Linked DNA regions of Oryzias latipes. The protein of the gene in region 1 purifies or fractionates together with the protein of each later gene. This does not show direct contact. Links are inferred from orthologs where the notes say so. Each region holds a gene or a part of one and is shown in the gene's direction. Other genes may lie near its edges.

Region 1 (5,066 bases):
CGTGAGACTCTATTGGTAAAGGAGAATCCAAGTAATGGTTTTAGTTTAAGGAAAGCTTGCAGTGACAACCTTCTAACTTCACTTGATAATAGTTAAAAACAGACCCCTTGCGTGTGACATTACTGCAGGGGTCTGTGTAATAGATATTTCTTCCGCAGACCAACTCATTTGCCCTTTAAACATATGTAATCATATTACAGCGAGGTGTTGACAGTATGGAATCGCTGAATTTTCTTCTCCTGTGCTGCTGTGCCCTGGAAAACGTGTCTGTGTGTAGATCCAGCTGGTACAGCCAGGTCAGATACAGTTGCAAGGTGGCCAGACTCTTCAGCTCCAGGGTCAGCAGGGTCAACAGCAAATCATCATTCAGCAACCGCAGACAGCCATCACAGCCGGACAGAACCAGGTAACTCATCAACTCTCATCAACTCAACTTAACACTCTAACTGCTTATCTGTTGGTCCAAATCTGACTTATGCTTCAGGGCATTTGTTTAAGTTGGATATTGACAGAATTGAATTCCAGGTCAAGCAGTTAGACATCATTAAAAAAATATATGCTGATCATTTTTGGAGGGAATTTTATTAGTAAGATTTATTTTCCTTGACCTCTCCTCTGATACAGGGGCAGCAGATCAGTGTGCAGGGTCAACAGGTGGCACAGACAGCTGATGGACAGACCATCGTGTACCAGCCGGTCAACACAGATGGATCTGTCCTGCAGCAGGGTGAGCCCAGCCTCCGCCACTCTATTTTTAAAGCTTTATAGACCGCAGCAGCATTGAACAGCATGTCTCACATGAGATGATTATTCTTTTGTCGTGCAGGAATGATAACAATTCCAGCTGCCAGCCTGGCAGGAGCTCAGATTGTACAGGCAGGGGGTGCCAACACAAACACTACCAACAGTGGCCAAGGCACTGTGACCGTCACCCTGCCCGTCTCCGGCAACATGGTCAATGCAGGTGGAATGGTCATGGTAAGACCCTATGCCGTGGTACCCAACATCATACCCCCCCTGCCCCCTCTTTCCTTTTTCTAGACTAACACCAGGGTGCGAGGTGGGTCAGTGGATCTTTTAGATTGTGATTGTAATGTTGGCAACATAATCTTGATAATTCAAGGGTTACTAATTTATAGGTTTGCACTAACCACCTCTTGTAGAGCACGAGTACCGGCAGAAGCATTTTTACTCTCCAGGAATAAACAACCTTTTTTAAAACTAACTAAAGACATTCAGTCAACACACTCTTCTTCTCTGTTTTCATGTGAAGTTTAATTCATTCACCATAGACATCTATGTACATCTATCCAACTCAACAGCTGTGTGTGTGAGCATACACTATGAAGATATAGAGGTCTAAACACTGTATGCTTTCTTTGGGGCTTTTTTGTAGATGGTTCCTGGAAGTGGAGGAGTTCCCACAATGCAGCGGATCCCCCTGCCAGGGGCTGAGATGCTGGAGGAGGAGCCTCTGTATGTCAATGCCAAACAGTACCATCGTATTTTGAAGCGAAGACAGGCCCGAGCCAAACTGGAGGCTGAGGGCAAGATCCCCAAAGAGAGGAGGGTTTGTAAAATTTGTCATTCTAGATTATTAGTTTGTATTAACAAACAACACTTGTCAATAAGTGAAGTTGACACATTTTAGGAGGAACCTAAAGCGTAAAAGAGGCTCTTTGTGATGACTTCATGTAAATCTCTAGATCATCAATCACAAAGCTCGGTCATTAGCTTAGCGTATTTCAAGAAAGAATCAGAAAGCGAGGAGAAAAACCCGTAGCTAACTTGGTAATTGGTAAATGTTTCTGAATGTCATTATTAAAAGAAATATTTTGTTAGCAGAAGTATCTACACGAGTCTCGCCATCGTCACGCTATGCAACGCAAGCGAGGAGATGGAGGCCGTTTCTTCTCCCCGAAGGACAAAGAAGATGCATTGGGCTTATCGCAGGTAAGATCAGATGTTTTTTCAAAGCTTAATGAAGTACCTGTGAGAGTAGCTTAGCTTTTACTGCTGATTTTTATTCATGGATGTATGTATTTGCTCTGTTGGTGCTGGAGCAGGATCTTTCTCAGTCTCCACCAGATGAGACAGTAGCTCAGATGATCCGGGTGTCATAGAACCATCGCCGCCATCAACCCTTTCAGCTGAACTCTACCCTGCCAGAGATCCTCCATCCCAGTGGACATCTGGCACACTTCATGTCATCTGTTCTTCTTTCTGCCCCGCTGCACCAAATACCTCACCAGGGTTTTCCTTGTGTCTCTCATCCTTTTGACTGGTCTTCCAGGGATCTGGTTGTGCAGTTGCTCACCCAGTGGACTTTTCTGGTATTGAAATTAAAACGGAAGGGCATCATCATGCTCAGCTTTCACTGCCGAGCTCCAAAGACCAGTTTTTAGTTTAGTTAAGGACCTGTTTGGACGATAATGGAACATGGATTTGTTGCTCAACATTCATGGAGATTAAATTACTGCCATGAAGCCATACTCTGTCAAATTTTGGTCTAATGGTAGGAAATTCAAAATGTTATTTCCTGCTGAAAATTTCCCCTCCTTTTTTTGTATTTGCAAACGACAGCAGTTTTCTTATTGTTGGAAACACAAGTATTTTCTCTACACTGCTGTTCTGTACCATTTTTGTGATGCCCTTTATAATGTAGTTATATCAGCTCATGTTTTGTGTGGTTGGATCCCATTATCTGCTGTGTTGAACCCGATGTTTGGTAGTAATATGTAGATAAAGACAATATGTTTGTTTTTTCTTCACCACTGTGAATAAAACAAACCCCAGTTCTGTGCATGCTTTTTATGCAGTTGGTAAGTTGTTTTTTTTAAGGAAAAAAAATACAGTTTTCTATCCTTGTATTAGTCTGATTTTGGTCTTTTCTTTTCATCTGTTGGTTCATTGTTTGGTCTTTTCATTGTAGATAGTTTTTTTTTAATTGCCATCAGATGCAGTTGTGCAATTTTATTTTTTATAATGAAAGAGGAGTGGACATGAATCCTAAAAATAACATTTTTATTAAGTTATTAAAGGCTGTTTGTGGTTATTTCATAATATATTTTATACTTTATTTCTTTAGTGAGGACTACTACTGTGAATAAATGTACCGGTACACCTTTTTTTGTTTTGTAATGAAACAAAATATGTTTGGCCTTTAAAGTCCCACTTCAAATATCTTTTCGATCTATTTTAAAAGCGTTTCCAGTGGTCTTTTATTTATCATTTTGCCATTTTTAGCTAAAAAATTAAACAAATGTGTCATTTTCTACAACATAGTTTCTGCAGGAGTTAATCAAAAATTCACCTCGGGGTTGTGGGCACCACAGTTACAGGGACACGTTGATTGGTCAAGATGCATTATGGGATATGTGGTGTTATCCTAAAGCCTCAGGCTCTAAAGTCTTATTTTGGAAATTGAACTGCACCATCCTTGAGCATGCGGAAGTGATTTTTGAAATTCATTGCTTAACAATTTATTGTAATAAACACTAGCTGAACCCTCATTCTGCAACAATTGGGAACTTTTGAAATACGAACTTGTCAATTTTATTTTAGAAAATATAGCTCTGACTTGACGAAAAAAAAGAAAAGCTGATGAGACAGAAGTAATACAAGACTGCACTTCTTACATCTTAACCAACAAAGGTCTTTGATGAAACAGACAAGACAGCTTTAATAGATTTACAGCACAAGTTAGATGACATAAGCAAAAAGCTGAAGGAGCATTTATCGATTGATCTATTGATTTAGGAGGAGGTGGATTGAAGGAGAGCAGAACTCAGACTATTTTTTCAGGCTTGAGAAACACCAGTCCAATATTAATTCTATTTTACAATTAAATATGAATGAGGTTATTTATGATGATAAAAATACTATGACAAAATATTGTTCTGATTTTTATTGTAAGTTTTATTCTTCCAACTTCCCTTACCTTTCTTAACTCTGTCAGTAACATTACTCAAGTGAGTGAAGCAAACAGTGTCTGTTGTGATGAGGTCATTTCTTTGAATGAGGTCACAGATGCTATGAAATATATTTAAAAATAAAGAAACCTCCTGGAACAGACGACCTTATTGTCACTTTCTATAAACAGTTTTCTGACAATTAAGCTCTATTTTTACAAAAGGTTTTTAAGGAAAGCATCGACAAATATGCGCTCCTTCCTACTTTATCTCAAGGACTGATTACCTTGATTCCTAAACCTAGAAAGGATCCTCTTTTCTTAGTTGGCGACCGATCACCTTATTGAATTGTGATTATAAGAAATTGGAATTCTTTGGAATATTTGATTCTTGCAAATAGAATACAGCCTGTCTTGGATACAATTATTGACAAAAATCTGGATTTTTGCAAAATCGTCATATTTCAAATATATATTAGATTACTCAGAACTTGTGCAGGATGACAGTGTCGAATGGAATGGAAACAAGTTTATTTCGAATACATAAAAAACACACATTTAAAAAAAAAGGAGAAAATAAAGAAAACGTTCACACTCGAGAGAAAAAAGATTATTATAAACACAAACAGAAAAAACATGAACACATGTGTTATGAACAATTATACAACTATACATATTCCAAAAGGAGTGAGAAGAAGTATTTACTTATATAAACTCACCTCCTATTCCTCATCAATATTAACTACATTAGCAAGCAGCTTCTTTATTTATATAAAATGTTTTATAATATAATCTATGTGGCTATAAAATATAATAATTTTTCTAGAGTCCTGTCATAAATACTGAGAATAATCTACAATTGAAAAATACTATGCGCATATTAAGATAAAAATAATATACCCATACATTTAATGTACATATGTATACTTACATATATATATACATCATATGTCCATCCGATATATTTGAATATCGTTTTAAAACCTTTTTTTTAAATCCTATTTTAAACATGTTTATGTTTGGACATTGCTTTATTTCTGCTTCTGTACTGTTCCACAGTTTTGCTCCACTAATAGAAACACTGAACATCTTCTATTTGTGCGTGCTTTGTTTGTGTAAAAATTCTGTTTTCTTCTCAAATTGTACTCTCCCTCTC
Region 2 (5,627 bases), on another chromosome or scaffold:
GAAGAGTATGCAAGCAGGTTGGAACAGGTGGATGAAGGTTCCCAGTGTGATGGGTGACTAAAGAGTGTCAGCGGGAATGAAGGAAATGAGTAAAGACTGTGGTGAGAGCAGCCATGCTGTTAGTTTAGAAGCTCTGTGAAAGAGACAAGAAGGAGAGCTGGAGGTAGTAGAGATGAAGATGTTGAGACTCTCTTTGTGATTGACAAATATGGATAGGATCAGGAATTAATCCATCAGAGGAATGGCTCATGGTAGATATTTTAGAGATAGAGGCATAATTTACTGAGGTGAAAACTCAAGGTAGAGCCCAAAAGACAAAGTCAATTATTTTGGAGAACTTGCAGACATTCCGATATTAAATATGTGTGTGTGGGGGGGGGGGGGGGGGGGGGGGAGGACACATGATTGAAAATCACAGCACCCTCCACGGACTGGTGATCTGTCCTGGGTGTAACCCCTTCACCCAACAGCAACTGGGATAGGCTCCAGTAACCCTGAAAGGGATGGATGGATGGATGCTTGCCACTTAAAGGCAAACTGCCATTATTTTCCTCATCAAATATTAACATTGCAGAGGAGTACAGGACAGTTTTTTGTTATAATAAGCATGCTTATTATAACAATATGAGACCTTATGAAAAAGAATTATGAAAAATGTTGCTATCTTAAAGTCCCACTCGTCTTGTCTTTTGATCTATTGTAGTGAATTCCCAGTGGTCTGTTTATTCTACCAGTTTTAGACAAAAAAAAAACAAAAAAAACAGTGTCGTCAGTTTCTGGAGAACGGTGAGAGTTCATTAGAAATTTACCTCTGATTAGTGGGTGGGAGTGAGTCTGATTTCATTTCCCATCATCCATTTGTTTACACCTTCTCTAGCTGGCTTACAGCCCCTCACCACCCCAAAGTTATATTAAAGGCATTTTTTGTCTGCTTCTCCTTTACAACGATTAGAATAAAGAAATACTGAGAAACACTGGTTTTATCCTCATTTTCTTTATATATGTCTTCCATCATGGGGCAAATGCCGAAAGGACGCGTTAAAAACACGGTTTTACTTGGAGTGGGTATCAAACTCTCAAACTCCAATTTGGAATTTATCTGATTGTGTTTTAACATGTGTAAACCTGTTTTTTTTTAATCATCAGATGTCCAAAATGTCTAAAATGTATGCCAGGTGTCGTGTTTTTTCTAATTATTTTAGGCTTTTATTTTCAAATACCGGCAAGTGAGTTATAGTTTGAGTCAAATAAACAGTTTTTACTAAAGTAATTGGAGGAGGGGTCGTCAAAGTTGTAGTTTTAAACCGTTTTGGGGGTAAAAAATGGTGAGTCGGCGGCGGAACTCCTCTTGCTTTGGACTTAAAGCAGAGAAGCGGGGCGCCGCTGGCCCCCGCAGATTGAATTCGATGACCACCGATCCGCTAGTGGACCTCTTCCGGACACTCCCGAACACTCACGAAGACAGCCTCTCCTCTTCTTCCCTTCCTTCCTCCTTCCCTCCTCCCCTTCACGCCTAATGTAGCCGTACCTCAAACCCTCCCCCCGTATCAGAGTAGAAACAACAAGCCGCCATTTTGTTGTGCGGACAGACCGTCAGAAACAGGAGATAACCGATAGAAGGAGCGACTCCGGCAGCCGACGGCAGCCGCTCCGGGAACCGCTGGGGGAAGCGAGAGCAGCCGAGTCCTTTCCGTGCTTTCCGGCGGAGGGGAAAGCATCACGACCAAAAAGATAAGACGTCCGTGGAGGCAGAAAACCGCTCGGCGGCATATGTATTTAGGAACATAAATGTATGCATGAGAAGGAAATACGCCGAAAAATCCAAGGAAGGGGGTGTTTGCGGAACGGCGACGGGGAGGAGAGGCGGAAGAAGAAGGGAGCTACGAGGAAAAAACCTGCGAAAAGGAGAAAACATCAACATGAAATTTCAGAATGTGTTCGCCGCGGAGGAAGGATCGAGCCCGCATAGACAATTATATAAATAAATTGCTGCCGGGCAGACGGGAGAGGTGGAAAGAAAGAAAGACGGGTTTAAAGAGAAGGGGGCAATTGCCAGGACCAGCACGAAGGGGGGGCAATCACCATCACAAAAGAGTCCAGAGCGGATTTTGGTCAGCTCCGAAATATTTCAGGGAGGTGTTTATGGTCATCTGAAGAAGAAGAAGCCATCATCTTGTCGGGTGATCTTTACTGTCATTTGCCTGAAAATCCTCGTTTCGTCCTTTGCTCTGCTTTCTGCTTGTCCACGCGTGGCCGAGGTGTCCTTTTAAACCAGGGGGGGCAGAAAAAAAATAAAGAAAAGTGACAATTTTTATCCGGCTTTTTTCATCCGAGAGGGAAGGAGCACAAAGCAGATCTTCCAAATGAAACTGCCTGGATCAATCGAGCTGTCCCGCTGATCGCTCATTAGATGATTGCCTTCAAGAATTGAGGAAGAAAAAGTGTTTTTTGTTTTTTTATTCAGGGAGATTTTTTAAATCTTTGCAATCTGACTGCAAAAGACAGCTCTGGTTGGGGTTGCATCAACCAAATGTGCAATACCTGCTTTTTTTCTGTGCCTTGCATGGTCACTAAGTGCACAGCTGAACGAGCAGAACTATGGGATGGATTTGATTTTTATTTGAGTGGATGCAGGTGCCCCCCACCCCCCATCTTTTTCTCCTTTTTTGACTCAACGCTGCCGTTTACTTTGGAGGACTAAAGGAATTTCCAGTTGTCCGATGAGAGATGCTAACAGTGGATTTGTGAAGCCCCTGCAGGAGTTCTCCAGAAGTTATCGAGGGGATACCCCCCACGCACACATACACACACACACACACTTGACTGTCGCCAAAACAGTTGTGGATCCTTTACTGGTGGGGGGGGTTTCTGTGTGGATGATGGCCCGCAGGACTGAGAGTGGCTCAGTGGACGGCTCCTGGGACGCACAGGAGGCTACATGAGGTTGTCAGAGGGCCGCACGTTTGCCTTTTCGCTGACTCCACCTTCCCACCTCCTCCTGTTCAAATCTGTGAAGAAACAAAATCTCCGACAGGGGAGGGGGGACTGATATCTGCAGAGAGGTACAAGCCGAGGGGGAGAACTGAGAGAGAGAGACTCCAACAGAGCCGTCCTCTCCCCTACCGTCCCCCCGAGCGGTGGGGGAACGATCAGAAACACTTAAAAACTAAAGGGAGCCGGAATAAAGGGAACACACTCGCCCTCGGTGGATCTACAGAGTTTTATTCTTATTTTTATTCGTAAAAAATATGGCCGATAATGTCCTGGAGTCCGGCCCGCCTTCAGCTAAGAGGCCCAAGCTATCCTCTCCAGCGCTGTCTGTCTCTGCCAGTGATGGAAACGGTATGTTGCATGCACACATGATGAAGAAAATTAAGATACTAAACTAGCATCTTTCCGGGGGGCTTTTCGTGTCACGCGCGTAGTCGGTAGTTAAGTCCCCAAAAAAGTGGCACAGCAACTTAGTTTGGTTTAACTCTCTGCTGTCCTCATATCTGTTTACATATTTATGTGCTTGCGGTTTGTCTGTGAAAGTGTCTAAAGGCAGATCCGGAGAAAAGCAATGCAGTTGTGCAGCGGGAGCAACTTCCCAGCAGTTCTGTTTTGATGTTAGCCTCAACAGGCTAACTAGCCCCAACTAAAAGATTCACTTCCAAACAATGGGAGTCAAGACACATCAGTTCGCTTTCAGATATTTGACCACTTTAAAGGGGACTTGAGTGGGAGAATTGGAGCGCGTGCACTTCAAATGAAACCCATACGACATACCCGACGAATTTCCAGACAAATAGCAGGCATTTCCGAAGCAGCTTTAAGGGAAAGTAACTGCAACCGAGGCGAGCGGGCGAGCTAACTAGCTTAAAAAGACACCCCCACCGCCGGAGCGGCTCAGCTGAACTCTGTAAAGAAAATAGGAAATGGTTTGTTGCATATTATTCTCCCTTGTTAAAGCTCGCCTTTCAGTCATCACCAAACTCTTTGTTTGTTTTTTTTAAGCTGAAAAGCACATTTCATGTCCTGGAAATACGTTTTTCCATGGATACTCTTATGGATGCAGAACTATTGTTAAGCTAGCTATTGTTCGTCACTTCATTAACTTGGGTGATGGTTCAGCAGCTACCAAAAGTAGCCATTAATACCTTTTACAGTTTTATAATAAAAAAACAAAAATCGCAGAAATCAAAGTTGTAATTCCTGTAAGTTTGTCTGTTTTTTATTTTCTCGAACTAAATTGATTTAACGCTTAAAATTTTCTGTTGCCTCCCATTGTCTAAACTAAAACGGTGCTCCTTATTTTTTTTGTTTGTTTTAAAAATGACACTATGTTTCATTTCCAGAATGCTAATAGTTAGCACTTAACCCTACAAAGAAAATAAACTTTAGTAGAATGGCATAATTTCTCCTCAGTGCATTTTGTTACTACAACGCTTGGTTACACTTAGATTTTTACTTATACACATCTGTTTTTTTTCCTCTTATTTACCCTGAAATAATGCACATTAAATTCCGGATCTTTAATGAACACGCTCATTTGGACTCTGTTTTAGGTCAGGTTGAAAGTCAGAAGTGTGCCGTTTTATTTGTGAAGTTTGAGTTCAGGCTCTACGTTAGGAAACTTTTTTCCCCCTTTGGTTACATTTTGGGGTCGTCTAGATATTTGATCTTACAGCGTCTTCCTGCGTGTTGAATTTCTCGAACTTTTTACATTTTCGCGCCCCTGTACCAAATAACTGTATAAACTATCCAGGTAGTGGAGTGTTTACCTTCTGCGGCTTCCCACCTTGTCCACACTGCGTTTGCTCTTCATGTATGGAACTGCACCAAACCACAAACAGACACCCAGGAGATTAGTGCAGGTTATGAGAGGCTGCCGCTGATTTATTATAGAGGCTAAAGGGAGAAAATGAAGAGATTATTTCTTGTTTTTAAATTGATTTGAAATGTTTTCTTTTGGTCATCATTGAGATTTTTCTGTTTTCTTGGGTAGATTTTGGTTCCCTCTTTGATCTGGAGCATGACCTCCCAGATGAGCTCATCAATTCTTCAGACCTGGGGTTGACAAATGGAGGGGATGCCAGTCAGCTCCATACCAGTCTTGGGGGGCTTGGAGTCGGGATTGGTGGGAGTGGCCAGGATGCGGCTGCGAAACACAAACAGCTGTCTGAGCTTTTGCGTGCGGGAGCACCGGCTCAACAGGGCGGTCCTACCTCCAGCAGTGCACCATCTGGGCCCTCCATGGCAATGATGGGGAACATAAATGTTTCTTCTAGTGGACCTCAAGGCATGCACCCTCAGGGCCAGCAGCAACAACCTGGATTAACACAGCAGGTTGGAATGGTGGGAGGCGTGCAGGCGCTCAGTCGGGCAGCTGCCTTGATGGGCGCCCAAAACGGCAACACTGGACAGCAACATCAAGGGCTTATGGGAGCTCAGGTTCTGAACGGCTCGCCTAGAATGGGCTTCCTCGGAAATGCTGGTATGGGTACCAGTGGTAATCTGTTGACGGAGAATTTGCAGCAGCAACAGGGGGGTCAGTCGGTCGGAGGCGGCGTTCAACCGGGAATGAGACCTCAGCAGCCGGGAGCGCTAAACAAGGTGAGCACAGTCGCAGCAGAACACACCGAACT

What was found. Proteins that work in one complex are often made in the same cells at the same time.
Region 2: the proteins of nfya (region 1) and histone acetyltransferase p300 purify together in Homo sapiens (affinity purification with western blotting, with the first as the bait; 3 studies listed by BioGRID). This does not show direct contact. The link is inferred for Oryzias latipes from reciprocal best matches to the Homo sapiens genes NFYA and EP300.

Annotation. Positions count from the first base shown.
Region 1 is NC_019865.2:10,743,820-10,748,885, forward strand, and holds the end of nfya (nuclear transcription factor Y subunit alpha), read left to right. Parts: intron 1-277; coding exon 278-406; intron 407-624; coding exon 625-727; intron 728-826; coding exon 827-978; intron 979-1,396; coding exon 1,397-1,570; intron 1,571-1,842; coding exon 1,843-1,953; intron 1,954-2,066; coding exon 2,067-2,123; 3' UTR 2,124-3,277; downstream 3,278-5,066. UniProt on the Homo sapiens protein: Component of the sequence-specific heterotrimeric transcription factor (NF-Y) which specifically recognizes a 5'-CCAAT-3' box motif found in the promoters of its target genes.
Region 2 is NC_019866.2:19,374,798-19,380,424, reverse strand, and holds the start of histone acetyltransferase p300, read left to right. Parts: upstream 1-1,503; 5' UTR 1,504-3,248; coding exon 3,249-3,342; intron 3,343-4,987; coding exon 4,988-5,595; intron 5,596-5,627. UniProt on the Homo sapiens protein: Functions as a histone acetyltransferase and regulates transcription via chromatin remodeling. Acetylates all four core histones in nucleosomes. Histone acetylation gives an epigenetic tag for transcriptional activation.